Drosophila melanogaster: one gene and its partners. The protein of the gene in region 1 purifies or fractionates together with the protein of each later gene. This does not show direct contact. Each region holds a gene or a part of one and is shown in the gene's direction. Other genes may lie near its edges. The genes, in order: Pak3, Ssl and CkIIbeta2.

Region 1 (6,874 bases):
TATAGTAGGATGGGCCAGGCGGGTGTAAACTCCTGGATAGTACGGATCCGCGCAGCCAACTCCCCAGGATACGATTCCGATAAGGGTTCCCTGTGCGCTGATCGGACCTCCACTGTCGCCTGAAAAATGATGAGGTTCACGGTGTCATTATCAACATGTCGATTAAACGTAATTGTAATTATCTGGGCTCACCTTGACATGCGTCTGTGTTTCTGGCGGCCGCGCAGAACATTCTGAAAGATAATATAAATTGGGAATTAATTGGCTTTGTCTTACCAATAAACACTTGAGAACAATAAATAGAGATGTATCTCAAGTACCAACTCCCTTTTGAAAATTTTTAAATTGTGCTCAAGCAGTGAGTGACTTCGTGAGTTTTTTGGGGCTTCTGTCTTCTAGAATTAGAAGTATTTTTGGAAAGGCAGAGTTGTGTATAGAGATAAACTCTTAATTTGTTCAATCTACATGGCATAATATGTAGGGAATAGTCTCTTGGGTAAACAGAACTTAAAAAAGTAGTATGATTCCCCTGCTTACGCTTCGGTGACGCCTCCGTGATGGCGTAGATCGTTGTGGCACTTCTCTTGGTTGACTGTCAGTACCGTAGTGCTTTTGAGTACCGACGACAGGACGGGATTGGAGGTGCTCATGTGTCCCCAGCCGGAGACGACGGCGGGCATGCTTTCCGAGATGGCCTCGCCAACGGTGGGCAATCGAATGGGCGCCACTTTGCCCAACGGCAGGCTGAGTGCTCCGTCCGCTGTTCGTAGAAGGGCCACGTCGAAGTTCATGTCCGCCCGATCGTAGGCCGGATGCTTGTAGATGGCTTTCACCGGCTGAACAGTGCCGCCCGAGGTACGCATGATGCTGCCCTGGCGGAGTGTGAATTCCCGCGGCTGCTGCTCATGCCCGTCGATGCAATGAGCGGCCGTAATGGCCCAGTTGCTGGAGAGAATCGAGGCGCCGCAGATGTGTACCGTTTGGCGGCGCAGCGAGAGTTGGTATGGAAACTGGCCTTCGGTGGCTTCGCGTCCGTTCACAATCCGACTGTCCGGCTGCCGAGGGACGGCAGCCTCTGTGCGGGATGCTTCCAGGATCACAAGGATCCCAGCTATGAGAAGAAACGGAATTGGAGCTCGGCACTTTTGCATGACGCTGCGAACGAGTGGAAACTAACCAGCATTGGGAATCCGTAAGTCGATATATTCAATGGCGCTTTATCAATCACGGACGTTATCTAGTGGGGTACACGATTTCTGAAGAAGCTGCTCCGTTGCCCGTAATTAGCCATTGTCGCTTGGGTTTTTTTGTTGCCTATCTGCCAGATTCTCTGATTTTATTACTGTTTACAGCGGTGACGATGGCAATGAACTTCCGCAAGAGCATCGGGGAAATGCAGAAATGGTTAAACCATTTTGATAAAAAAAGGTAGTTTTTATCTTTTTAAAAAATCGATTCTTATGGGAAGATCAGAAGATATATATATATAGATATCACAAGATCACAAGATATGAGGTTTAAAATACCCAAATATAAATGAATGTAAGATGGATGTTTAAATGTTCTTTTATTTAACTGAGTTCTATTAATTACCGGATTCGGATTTTTGAAGAATTGGAAACCTATATATACTAAAACTAGTTGAGGGTCTATAAATACTTAAAATTATAAGAAACTTTTGTTAGTCAATACTAAAAGGCATTTATCCAGTAGCATGGCCGTTTAGAATAATATTTATATTATTTTATAAAAAATTATTTGTAATATTTTTAAAGTGTTCCGACTCAAAATTGTTGGAAAAAATACTGAACCACTTGACCAGCATCGATAGTCCTATAAAAGTGTCGATGTTTCGATAAAAGGCCACACAGTGGAATACTCGCCCAACTTAGCTGCGGTCACACTTAGTCTGCAATTTTCAAGAATTACACACGCGCGGATGTTTTTCGGTTCATCCTAAGAAACATAAAATTGCAACGCAAAGAGCAGCTTAAAATCGCGAATTAACCTTTAGGCTTAATAGTAAAAATAAAGAGTGTACATCGTACACAATTCGCATTTGTCGGCACAATTGGTGCGAGTGCGACAACAATAGCAGGCCGAGTGCAGCAGTGCGATTGCAGCAAAGCGAAGGGAAAAACCAAAGAAGTTATTAATTTCGGAGTGTTGCTCTGAAAGCGGCTTAGATATACCCAAATCAACAATATACTTCCGTATAGTTATGGAAGCCTGGAAGGGCTAACAAAAAACTATACGGGAAGGCAGTTTTCGGCCCGCGTAAGAACAGCAACAACAACAGACACTGGAAGAACAAGACTGCGACGGCCACTCCTTTTGTGTCCGACTTCGAGATGTGTGCGTGTTCGTGTCCGCGTCCGCCTTTGTGTGTTGAGCAATTGAAAACTGGTGATTGCTGAATAAATTAAGGTAGCTAAATTAATAATTAGCAAAGCGAGTGGGGCCAATAAAAAGTGAAAATCTTCTGCGTTTTCGTAAAGCGAAAGAAACTACAGCTACAGTTAGAGATAAGAAGAGCTCTCGCACACATACACAAAGCGCAGGCCGAACGAGCGAGTGTGCGTGCTTGTGCATGTGTTTATGACTCACGGCTGGTTCAGTGAGAGAGAGAAAGAGAGCGAGAGTGGTGGCTTGAGTAACAGTAACATTAACAATACCGAACGCGAAACAACAACAAATCTGCCGAGCGTTTAGAATTTCCCAAGTCGAGCGTTACTAAACGCATTGAAGAAAATCCCCCCCACCCACACACACTCTTATACAATAAAGAGAGAGAAAGCCGCTGGAAAATGAGCTTCACCAAGTGGTTCAAGAAGAAGGGCGGAGATGGGGGATCGATCTCAGAGATCGGTGCACCCACAAACTTCCAACGGCACTTCCATGTCTCGCGCAACCAGGAAACCGGCGACCTGGAGGGGCTTCCAGCTCCATGGGTGCGCCTAATGAACTCACAGATCACTCGCGATGAGCAGGACAAGAATCCAGATGCTGCCTACCATGCCGTTAAGTACTACAACTATTCGATTAAGAAGAAAGAGAACGAGGTCTTCAAGCCCTTCATCACCGAAGATGTGATCCACGAGGAGTCCAAGGAGATAGAAAACTATGTCAACTACAAAAACAAGCACAAGTCTCAGGATCCCGAAAAGTCCGACGACGATGGCAGTTCGACGGCCACGGAGACGGAAAGTAGCAGCGGTTGTGGCTCCTCGGCAGGTAATAGTAACAGCAGCAGCATCAACGACAGCAGCCAGCAGTCGACGGTGCCGCTGGACGCCCTAGAGGAGGTGTTCAAGGAGCTCAAGACCAATCTGGAGCACCGCGAAACGCTGAAGGCCGCACCGCAAGAGCCTCCACCAGTACCGCCCAAGAAATCGCCCCACACCATACCGCCCAAACCGCAAATCAAGCCCAAACCTCGTGTCACACAGAAGTTCTCACGCACTTCGGATATACGTCGAGATGAGGACTCCGACAACCAGCACAAGATCAACACAGACACAATCATCATCAAGCCAGCCGTAGGGGCCCAGGATGCTGGAGCGGATGATAATCCCGACGAGACGATACTGCGCCGCTCCAAGGAGAAGAGGGCCCAGAAAACCGATGCCGAAATCTACGTTGAGCTGCGGGCAATTTGCAATTCAGATGACCCAAGGGAACGCTACAAGACCACCCAGGAGGTGGGCAAGGGAGCTTCTGGCATAGTTTTCATAGCCGCCGATTTGCAGAACGAATCGCAGGTGGCCGTCAAGACCATCGATATGAAGAACCAGTCCTCGAAGGATCTCATACTCACAGAAATCCGAGTGCTCAAGGACTTCAACCACAAGAATCTGGTAAACTTTCTGGATGCCTACCTTCTGGAGCCCGAGGACCAACTGTGGGTAGTCATGGAGTACATGGATGGCGGCCCATTGACTGACGTCGTTACCGAGACTGTGATGAAGGAGCGCCAGATTGCCTGCGTCTGCCGCGAGACACTCTACGCTATTAGTTTTCTGCACGCTAAGGGCATTATCCACCGGGACATCAAGTCAGACAACGTGCTGCTGGGCATGGATGGCAGTGTTAAGGTGACGGACTTTGGGTTCTGCGCCAACATCGAGGGCGATGAGAAGCGCCAGACAATGGTGGGAACGCCGTACTGGATGGCGCCCGAAGTGGTCACGCGCAAGAAGTACGGCAAGAAGGTGGACATCTGGTCTATCGGCATCATGGCCATCGAGATGATCGAAGGCCAGCCACCCTACCTATACGAGACTCCACTCCGCGCCCTCTACCTGATCGCCGCCAACGGTCGGCCGGATATCAAGAGCTGGGATAAGCTGAGTCCCAACCTTCAAGACTTTCTCGATCGCTGTCTCCAGGTGGAGGTGGACCGAAGGGCCACCGCCGACGAGTTGCTCAGCCATCCGTTCCTCAACGACTGCAGCGAGGTCAAGGCCCTCGTGCCCAACATCAAGGCGGCCAAGAAGGTGCTCCGACGCAACGTATAGTTGCTATGCAATCACCGGACGGCCAGGCTGCTCTACGCGTGATCGGAAGCGGAATCGGGTTCGGGTTCGGGATCTGCCCCGTGTGTATAATGAGTTTTCAATGTAAATTTGTTTTGTGTGGACGAAACCGGAACTGGAACTGGAATAGAATGCTGACCGTAGTCTTTGTAGTATGTACAACCGTAGAAATGGCGAAAGCAGGACTAGGACCCGGCAACTCCCCTTCGAAAACAGGTAAGTCCCAGGTAGCCCATTTGGCCAAGCTCATTATTCAAGCGAAACGATATCCATTTCAACGGAAACCTTTTCGCAATCGCACATGTGGAAACAGAGGCTGTCGGTTTATTGTCCGATGGGTTAGTTTCTCTTTGCTGTCTAAATTTTGTCAAAGACCTAGACCCAAAACAGCGATAGTTGCCTATCTTGGGACTTTTAATCAGTAACTCACTTCGGTTCGAACAACAGATTAAATTCGATCAAGGTTGCGAAGTGCACGAGGCTTTTGTCTCTGATTAATTTTATTTCTTGTATACCTGGGAAAGGGAATCTTTAACGCGGTCAATTGCTTGCAACGCCCTATAGAGCAAATATGTTATGGTGCCAAGACAGCTTAATATGATTTAGAAAGTCATCCATCAGAGAAATGGACTGGGACCAGTGGGGTTGGATTTAATCCAAAAATGATTCACTTCTACAAACAGTTATACTTAAAACTCATGTTTTATTCAACAAATATTTAATTTTCTTCGTTTCATATGATTCAAACATGATTTGAAAAAACCAGATGATGATAACTTAATGCGTTATTATAAAAGACACATTTTTTAGTTTTCTGGTATAGCAAAAATATTATTATTTCCTGAATTAAAAAAATTCTTTGCCATTTCCATGAACATCTCTCCGTAATAATGAAGTTTGGGATTTTCCTACATGAGAGCACACACCGTTACTTGGCTAGCGCTGCAATTGTTTATGTCTCATTCGTTTGGACACCTATTACGTATAGGGTTTTTGCACAAACCATTCCATTGAAAACCGACAATGGACAAAAAAGCAAGTAAAAGAAAGAAGCCGCTCCGGCAGTAACAACAAACAACAACTGAGTACGCAATTTAACACGCTCGTTCGCATTTCCTGTTTGGAATATCGCTTTGTCTGGCCAAAAAATATTCATACATCATAATAAAGAAAACTTTAATTCAGGCACACAGACAGCGAAAACACCTACGCGCAGCGAAATGCATTTGTATTGGCCTTATCAGGCGCGTACAACATGCTGTATAAGTGCTATTGTAATTCCCCCAGCTGTAGAGAAACCGGAGGGGAATTTATCAAATTCTTAGAACAATTTTCGTCCATTTCCAATGTGATAAGCAAAGCTAAAAAATAGATCGTGAAAGTTCTACGAGAGAGTGCGAGAAAGAGAGTGCTAGAGAGGGGGTGGCGAGAGAGCGAAAGTGGAGTCAAAGTCAAACTGAGTGTGTGTAACACAAAGAATGAGAGTGTGTATAATTGATTCTGATGGCGGTTCTTCGGCCTCTTCCTCTCTCTCTCACTCTTCTTTAGTTCTTCTGCATCTTTGGTCGCCCTCCCACTTACTCAACTTAATTGCTTCTGTGGCAGGAGCAAACGAGAGGGGGGATGGCGACGTCGCGACTCGGCTGCGCTATTTTTACTCTCTCCCACTCCCACTTTGGCTTGCATCTTCCCCTGCATTGTGATGCACTGGCTCTGCATTTTCCAGGGGCGGATCTGGAGGCTAGTTTTTCAGTAGGTTTAAATATTTTAATGTGGTGACAACTGAGAGTATAATTAAAAGATACTTTCAGAAGCTAAGTTTAATTACCAAAACATTAGGGGAATATTCCTTGCAAACCACAACTAGATCCGCCCCTGGTTTCTTCTCCAACTTCTACCGGATCTCTAGGCTCTCTATTTGTTTATATTACTGGCGCATACTTTTGCTTTCCGTTTTGCGGGAGAGTGAGGGAGAGATAGCGATGGTTCTTCTCACTTGCGGATATTGAAATCTTTAATTCTGCAAGTACTGGAAGCAGGGAGAAAGGAGGGATACGCTCAGGAATTTGCGCAAAAACTAAAACATTCTCTTCGTTTTCCATTCTGGCTTCTGGGCGTGGAACCTCGATCTTGGGGCAAAGTACAGCTGGCTACACTGAACAAATACTTGCTTAACCTGTGAATAATCCCTGATAAAAATACTTATGAGTATCTGCAAAATATGCTTATTTAGCACATCAAATAACTATTTATTGTACCTTAGCGTTGAAAGTATGTTTCCACTGTTATCTATTCCACATTAATAGACAAAGTAATGGTTTTTCTCTGTGCATCCAGTT
Region 2 (3,557 bases), on another chromosome or scaffold:
GCAGGCGTTTAGAAGTAGCACAGATACTAAAATTTCGATCTTATACACAAAGTACACTCCATAGTATTTCAAATAAGTAGCCCCACTTCAATGGCTCAGCGATACGATCGCGCGGTGACCATTTACTCACCCGACGGTCACCTGCTGCAGGTGGAGTACGCCCAGGAGGCCGTCCGAAGGGGTTCCACTGTGGTAAGTCCTACCTGGAGGCCACCCGCACTTGCCTATTAGTTAATCCTCCAAATACTAACCAAAGATGGGTCTGCGCACCAACAACGCCATTGTAATCGGCGTGGAGAAGCGCTCCGTGGGCGACTTGCAGGAGGAGCGCATGGTGCGCAAGATTTGCATGCTCGACGACCACGTGGTGATGACTTTTTCGGGTCTCACCGCGGACGCACGGATCCTGGTAAGCCGCGCCCAAATGGAGGCCCAGAGCCATCGTCTGAATTTCGAGAAGCCCACGACCGTGGAGTACATAACCCGGTGAGGAAGAGCACTGCCTACACAGGGAAAAGTATGCAGTGAATGAGCTGAGTTGCAAACCACAAAATACTCATGCATACTTTTTCCTGCCCTTTCGAAAAAGTTAAGAACTGTTCTCTCAGTGCATCCCCCTAGGCAAATTTGGATTTACCTTTTATGTCCTTTCCGCTTCCCATGCAGATACATAGCCCAGCTGAAACAGAACTACACGCAGAGCAATGGGAGGCGTCCATTTGGATTGTCCTGTCTGGTTGGGGGCTTCGACGAGGATGGCACTCCGCACCTGTTCCAAACGGATCCCTCGGGCATCTTCTACGAGTGGAGGGCCAACACCACCGGCCGCTCAAGCCAGCCGGTCCGCGATTACATGGAGAAGCACGCGGACGAGATTCTGACCATCGCCGACGAGGCAGCGGCCATCAAGCACATAGTCCGCACCCTGGTCAGCGTGTCCTCGCTCAACCACACCCAAATGGAGGTGGCTGTGCTCAAGTACCGCCAGCCACTGCGTATGATTGATCACCAGGTCCTGGCCGATCTGGAGCGAACCGTTCGCAGGGAAATTGAAGACGAGGCCGAGGCCAGTCGGCGGCCCCGTGCTCCCTAGTTTTGGCCGGCCACCCTGATCCATTCTGTTCGCCATGGCCCCTGGCCATTTTCATGACCAATCAAAAGTTGATAACCGGTCGTGCTCTCTTTTTCTGGGCAATTCAATTTCGGCCGGGGAGTTGGAGAAAAGTAATCAGCAGGAAAAATGTGTAAAGCGGGCAAATCACTTAATTTGTCTCCAGGGCGTATTTGTTTACTTTATATCCCTCTCCGGCGTAGACGCGTACGCTCCTTTCAGGCCAACCAAGTTAAAAAGTTTTAAGTGAAAATGCGAATTGAATTTGTAGAGGAAAAATAAGAAAGTGCGCGCACACATGCAGAAAATGTTTGTCAATCGAGATGGTTTCTCTTGATTGGGTTAATAAATTCCTAGATGCCAAGGAATGCTCCTTGATCCTGATGTAAAGAACATTGTTTTCTGAAGGCATCTTTACATTAAAGCAGGTCTTTTCCCATTGCAGAAGTACTGTCGATTTTTTCGCCGTGAGTTCCATTTGCGATTTCCTGCTCCACCTACACTGGGCTCCCCAGGCTGTCATATTGGCCGTTCAAAGTTGAGTCCCACTCATTTCCTGAAATCAAGTGCTTCAACCGAAAGTGGGTTTCATGGGTTAAGGTGTATGCTGTTATAAGGGTATGACCTGCCTGAAGGGTTCATCAGGGCAGCATCAATGATGTCAATAGTGGAGCACCGCACCCTTCGTTTCCCCTTGAGCAACTGGAGCATCAGGACTACGTTCTGGTCATTACAGACGTGTTTTGCGGCCTAGGCTTCCAAGAAAGCCAGGCTTCTGGCTAGCCTTGCCGATTTGACGAGTTTGAGGTCTTTGTGAAGGGCATCGAGTCCTCGGGCGATAAAGGGTTTGGAACACTGCTGCCCTGTCGCAGCCCTGACATTTGAATTGTTGTCACTGAGCTGTCTGTCATTATGAAATAGTAGGTCTCGTCATTTTGCACTGTACTTTTTCATTATATTTTATTCGAGTGAGCATGTCGTGTCCGTAAGTAACTAGGTTTTTCCTATAAAAATCATAGCAAATTACACCAAAATCTTTTAGCAGGAGCATCGAGATACCAGATGGCAGTTGGATCGATTGGTTCCTGGGAATCAAGGGCCACGAATTCTCCTGCCGGGTGCCCAATGAATACATCCAGGACAAGTTCAATCTGACGGGCCTGGAGTTCGATAGCCAGACACTGGAGGTAGTCTTAGATCCGGAGTTCGACAACGAGGACTGGGACTGCGCCGAAGAGAAGAAGCTGTATGGCATGATCCATGCACGGTACATCGTTTCGCCGCGTGGCATTGAAGATATGCGATTAAAGTACGAAAGGGGGGACTTCGGATCGTGTCCGAGAGTCTTTTGTAAGAGGCAGAAAGTCCTGCCAGTGGGCCTTCACGACGTGTGGGACAAGGCCCAAGTTAAGATCTATTGCCCTAGCTGTAACAACGTCTACATCCCGCTACCCCACAATGGAATGCTGGACGGAGCCATGTTCGGGACCAGCTTCCCGCATATGTTCTTTATGCAGCTGCCAAGCTTGATACCCTCTCCGCCCGTGGAGAAGTACATCCCCCGGTGAGTAATTCTTCGAATATAATCCTTGTTCTTTTCTACACAAAGCACTTGCACTTCCAGTATCTATGGCTTCCAGTTGCACAAGAAGGCCCTGATGCCGCCCGAATCAGCAGAGTCCCCGCCAATAAAGGTCGAATCCTCGGTCAGCAAGTCGCCCTCCTGGCTAAGGAATGTCCCGAATTTTTAACTCCACACGAACAAAGCACACAAATGTTGGTTTGGTCTGTTGTTGCAATTAAACAGTTTCCCCAATGCGTTGATATGGCCAGCGACCACTAACACATGGGTGCACTCTCTCTGCCCTAAACACTTCACACCATTCGGTCCACGCTGGCCATATCAAGCAGTCATTCGAAAAGCAAAGCGTACTTGCCGTTAATAGTGGTAATCACCTGGGAGTTCGGAAGTGAAGCAGCTTTAAGCGGCCTATTCATCCGCTTAGTGTTGTCAGACACTGCGAGAAAATGGTTGGAAAGTTCTGTTGCACGGTCTAAATATAATTAGGATCCTCTACTACTCGAGAATTGGCATCAAGTGCACAAGGATTAAGGATCTACACTCCAAACGTTGAGTTAGATTATATTTCATCCCTGTGTGCGTGCTCCTTAAGTTCGCTGGACTTCGCAATAAAAATCCACTTGGCGGCACAACCTGCTAAGCCGATAATGGGAATTACGTTGAGCCGAGGCGTGGGCAGGGATTCGTGAATTTGCAGGAGGAGCCGCGTCCTGTTACTGTTCCTGTTCCCGATCCTTTGCCGCTGGCATCTCCAATAAGTCATGCCTTTATTATTATTTACTGCCGCCCTGGCGCTTTCATTTTCAGTTTTCCACGCCACTCGACGCCTTTTTCCTTCGAGTGGAGAAGAGCGCCTTTTCCGCT
Region 3 (3,742 bases), on another chromosome or scaffold:
AACAAGGTGCGTGTCCGGCATGATAAATATTGCAATGGTTCCAATTGTTTAATATAAAAATGAGCAAATCCCAAATATTGCACCGCAGTTTCAATCGAGCCGTTCATTAAAATGGTGACAAAGGTATGATGTGGCTATTTAATAAACATTTTTACGTAAATCTTTTTGGCATTCCTAAAGTTGCTTCTACTGCTGCCATTTGTGGCCATTGTACAAGCTGAAGTGGATTTTACCGGTGGACGTATAGCACCTTATGCACCAACTGGTTGGCATCCGCAGATTCCATTCAACTTACCCAACGAGTATGTGCCTGCTATCCGATCAAGTCAGGGAGTAGAAATCACAAAGGCACGAGTGGACCAGTTCGATCCAGTGGAAAAGCCCCAGCCAAATTATTTGCCTCCAAATCAACTGGATATACCCGAGGAAGAGATTTTGCCCACCTCACGACCGTCCAACAAGTACGGTCCGGCAGATCCGAAATTTAAAATCATTTATCCTGATGATGAGGAGCCAGTTACTGCAAAAAATATCGTAGACAATCAGCAGCCCAAAATCAGAGAGGGACGTTACTTCGTCATTTCGCAGGACAATAAACTACAAAGAGTTTCTTTCAGCTCCCAGCAAAACGCAGATGCAGATGCAGATGATTTTACGGCTCAGTTGACTTACTCCACTGTGGGGCAACTCAAGGATCCTGTGTATCGATACAACAGACAGGGACAACTGGAGCGGGTCCTGAAGTAGGCAATTTGGATATAGCTATTTGAATATGTAAAATAGAGTTGTGCAATGTATTCAATTCTCAGAATGAATTATCTTGTTAATTATAAAAACAGTTTGGTTTTTCTTTTTGACTTTGTTTTATACAAAAATGCTTCTTTATTCATTTAATAATTATTAAATATACACAAAAATCTCATAAGTTCGTTTCACTTTCGAATTTCCATTTTCGTTTAAAAACTAAATACAATCCTTATGCATGTATGTATGAATGCGTAATGGTCATGTTGTGGGTGAATGGTGTGTTGGAGTGTGTGCGTAGACTAACACAAAATGAAGGCGCTTAAACAAAACAAAACGGCAAGGAGTTCCAGGTGTAGAGACGGAAAACAGGATAACGAACAGCAGTGAAACGGAAACGGAAAGGAACGCGCCTGTCTATGGCAAAATGGCGGGCGTCCCACTAAGGGTATGCACAGAGATGGGAATAGGGTTATATGGATAGACTGACTGCGATCGCTGGCCCACTGGCTGGATGTGCGTTTAATACTCGGCCAGCGATCCCATGAAGTAGACGAGTATAGTTGCGGGGTCGACCTAAATCGGGTATCCTCACTTCCCCATCTTAGTAGCCGTTGAATTTGCCCTGCTGCGCGTTGCTATCATAACCGCCACCGTTGCGACCATTGCCATTGCCGTTTCCGTTGCCATTGCCGACCTGCTCGTACCGAATGGTTGGGCGGTATCCATTCTGGTCGGCCTCGTACTCAACAATCTGTTTGCGTCCATCGGGCAGCAGGACGTAGTAGCGGCCCACAGCAAGATCACCATCGCGGGACTCCATGTGGCCGAAGTCATTGCCCGACTCGTAGTCCTGTACGTCGTACTTGAACTCGTACTTGGCCGGTCCATACTGCTCCTCATCCCGTTGTCCGTAGCCGTTGCCGTTGCCATTACCGCCGCCATAGCCGCCGTTTCCGTTTCCGTTTCCGCCCTTGAAGATGGCACCAGTCAGCGCTGGAGCACCATATTGACCCTGGGGAGGAGCGATGGGGGCGCCATAGCTGTTGCTGGGCGCTCCTCCATTGCCACCGGCCCGCTGGGGTGGCAAGTAGTTGCTCGACGGCGACTGGTAGCCCTGCGTGGGCGGCAGGTAGTTGTTGGACGGCGCCTGAGGCGACTGATTGGGGGGCAGGTACTGGTTCTGGGGAACTGGTGGTTCCGCATGGGTCCAGGCAGCCAGGCACACGAGCAGGGCAATGGATGTAAAAGCCTGGGAATGAAAATTCAGGGTTGCATTTACATTACAGTTTTCGTTTTGAGTTGACAACCCTTGATTGAACACTCCGTCCCTGACAGCTGTCATTCGAAATTAAATAAGTCCTATTGTTAAGCTCTCGTGATTTTGACTGATTAAATTAAAGCTTAAAAGAAGCAGCTATGACCGATTCGGACGAATCTTCCTGGATTCATTGGTTTTGCAAGCAGCGTGGCAACGAATTCTTTTGCGAGGTGGATGAGGAATATATCCAGGACAAGTTTAACCTTAACTTTCTTGATTCGAACGTTAAGAACTACAAATGTGCCTTGGAGGTGATCCTGGATCTTAATCCGGGTTCAGCTTCGGAAGACCCCGCTGAACCAGAACTGGAGGCTAGTGCAGAGAAACTGTATGGCTTGATCCATGCTCGCTTTATCCTAACCAACAGGGGCATCGAACTGATGTTGGACAAGTACAACAAGGGCGAATTCGGCACATGTCCACGTGCATTCTGCCATAGCCAGCCGGTGCTGCCCATTGGTTTGAGTGATAATCCTGGCGAGGATATGGTACGCATCTATTGCCCCAAGTGCAATGATGTGTACATTCCCAAGGCGTCGAGACATTCGAATCTGGATGGAGCCTTCTTTGGCACTGGATTCCCTCATATGTTCTTTATGGAGAAACCGGATGCTAGGCCCAAGCGGGCAAAGCAGAAGTTTGTGCCCAGGTTAGATCTTCCGTTTCCTGTGTTTCCTTCTATTTCCCTATGTTTTTAAGGTAGTTACTAATAATGTATAACTAATGTAACTATGTTTTCCCAGGCTTTATGGCTTTAAAATCCACCCCACGGCCTACCGTACTGCCGCTGAGATCCAAAAAGATGTGACAATGACGCCAGTAGGAGAAATCGATAGCCCATCCCACATTTGATCCTAAAGCTAAAATTTCTCATAAGCAACTGTCGCGTACTTCTCGAATAAGTGGGCACTGTTCGCCCGGCTGGCTGCCAGCTCATTAAACTCTCATAACAATAACTGCTCAGGCTGTGACCCGCTTGACAATCTTTTGTTTGGATTTGATGGCCTGCGAGCAGGCCCAGAATTGGCTTTGTCTTTCCCATCTTTACAGCATTTAGCTGAGGCATATGCAAATCTGTAGTAATTGGGTCCCAGGTGAAGCTCCCATCGGATTGGATTGGATTTAGCTGGGCTGCAAGTGAAGGGCTAATCTCGTGATCTTGCGCAATGCGTCTGAATCTTAAGTATTCGCCGTGTGGCGCGGACAACCTGTGGGAGAACCACTTCGGCTCACTCTTACACAACTTATTTCCGAATCTTGTGCAAAAGATCTTCTGGCCGAGTGTTTAGGCACAGGGCCGTCAATGACTTTCATGCTTCATTGGCGTTAAAATGCTATGCTTTTTGGCTGCGCTTTTGTCTGTATTTTTTTTTTATCGCCGCCTGGTCATCTCCAGACTGCCTTACTTGGGCATGTCCAGTAGTTCTTCTTCCGCCACTTAAAGTTTCTCTAATTTATTCATTGCAAAATGACCCCAAGCAGCGGCAGCTGTTGTTGCTTCTGTTTGTTACCCACACCCTAGAAATGAACTGGGATCGCTGGTTGCAATTGTTTCCCAGGCGAATGATATCGGTGTTCTAATTCCGCAACCTACCATAAAAAACAGTAGCTATCCTAAACAAATTGATGGTAATCTTAACTGCGATGATGATGGCAACTTATGAAATTTATTATGCG

Evidence for each region.
Region 2: the proteins of Pak3 (region 1) and Ssl purify together in Drosophila melanogaster (affinity purification with western blotting, with the first as the bait; one study listed by BioGRID). This does not show direct contact.
Region 3: the proteins of Pak3 (region 1) and CkIIbeta2 purify together in Drosophila melanogaster (affinity purification with western blotting, with the first as the bait; one study listed by BioGRID). This does not show direct contact.

What each region holds. Positions count from the first base shown.
Region 1 is NT_033777.3:16,448,844-16,455,717, reverse strand, and holds the start of Pak3 (Pak3), read left to right. Parts: upstream 1-1,896; 5' UTR 1,897-2,807; coding exon 2,808-4,517; coding exon of another isoform or gene 4,518-4,559; 3' UTR 4,560-4,751; intron 4,752-6,874. Other genes in the region: CG10405 (uncharacterized protein), read right to left, coding at 1-119, 193-233, 538-1,151.
Region 2 is NT_033778.4:24,498,721-24,502,277, reverse strand, and holds Ssl (suppressor of Stellate-like), read left to right. Parts: upstream 1-2,010; 5' UTR 2,011-2,085; coding exon 2,086-2,096; intron 2,097-2,153; coding exon 2,154-2,675; intron 2,676-2,735; coding exon 2,736-2,862; 3' UTR 2,863-3,035; downstream 3,036-3,557. Other genes in the region: Prosalpha4T2 (proteasome alpha4 subunit, Testis-specific 2), read left to right, coding at 91-192, 257-486, 667-1,093.
Region 3 is NT_033778.4:20,287,516-20,291,257, forward strand, and holds CkIIbeta2 (casein kinase II beta2 subunit), read left to right. Parts: upstream 1-2,029; 5' UTR 2,030-2,163; coding exon 2,164-2,714; intron 2,715-2,808; coding exon 2,809-2,917; 3' UTR 2,918-3,035; downstream 3,036-3,742. Other genes in the region: CG34199 (uncharacterized protein), read left to right, coding at 112-123, 181-747; Cpr56F (cuticular protein 56F), read right to left, coding at 1,349-1,996. UniProt on the Drosophila melanogaster protein: Participates in Wnt signaling. Plays a complex role in regulating the basal catalytic activity of the alpha subunit.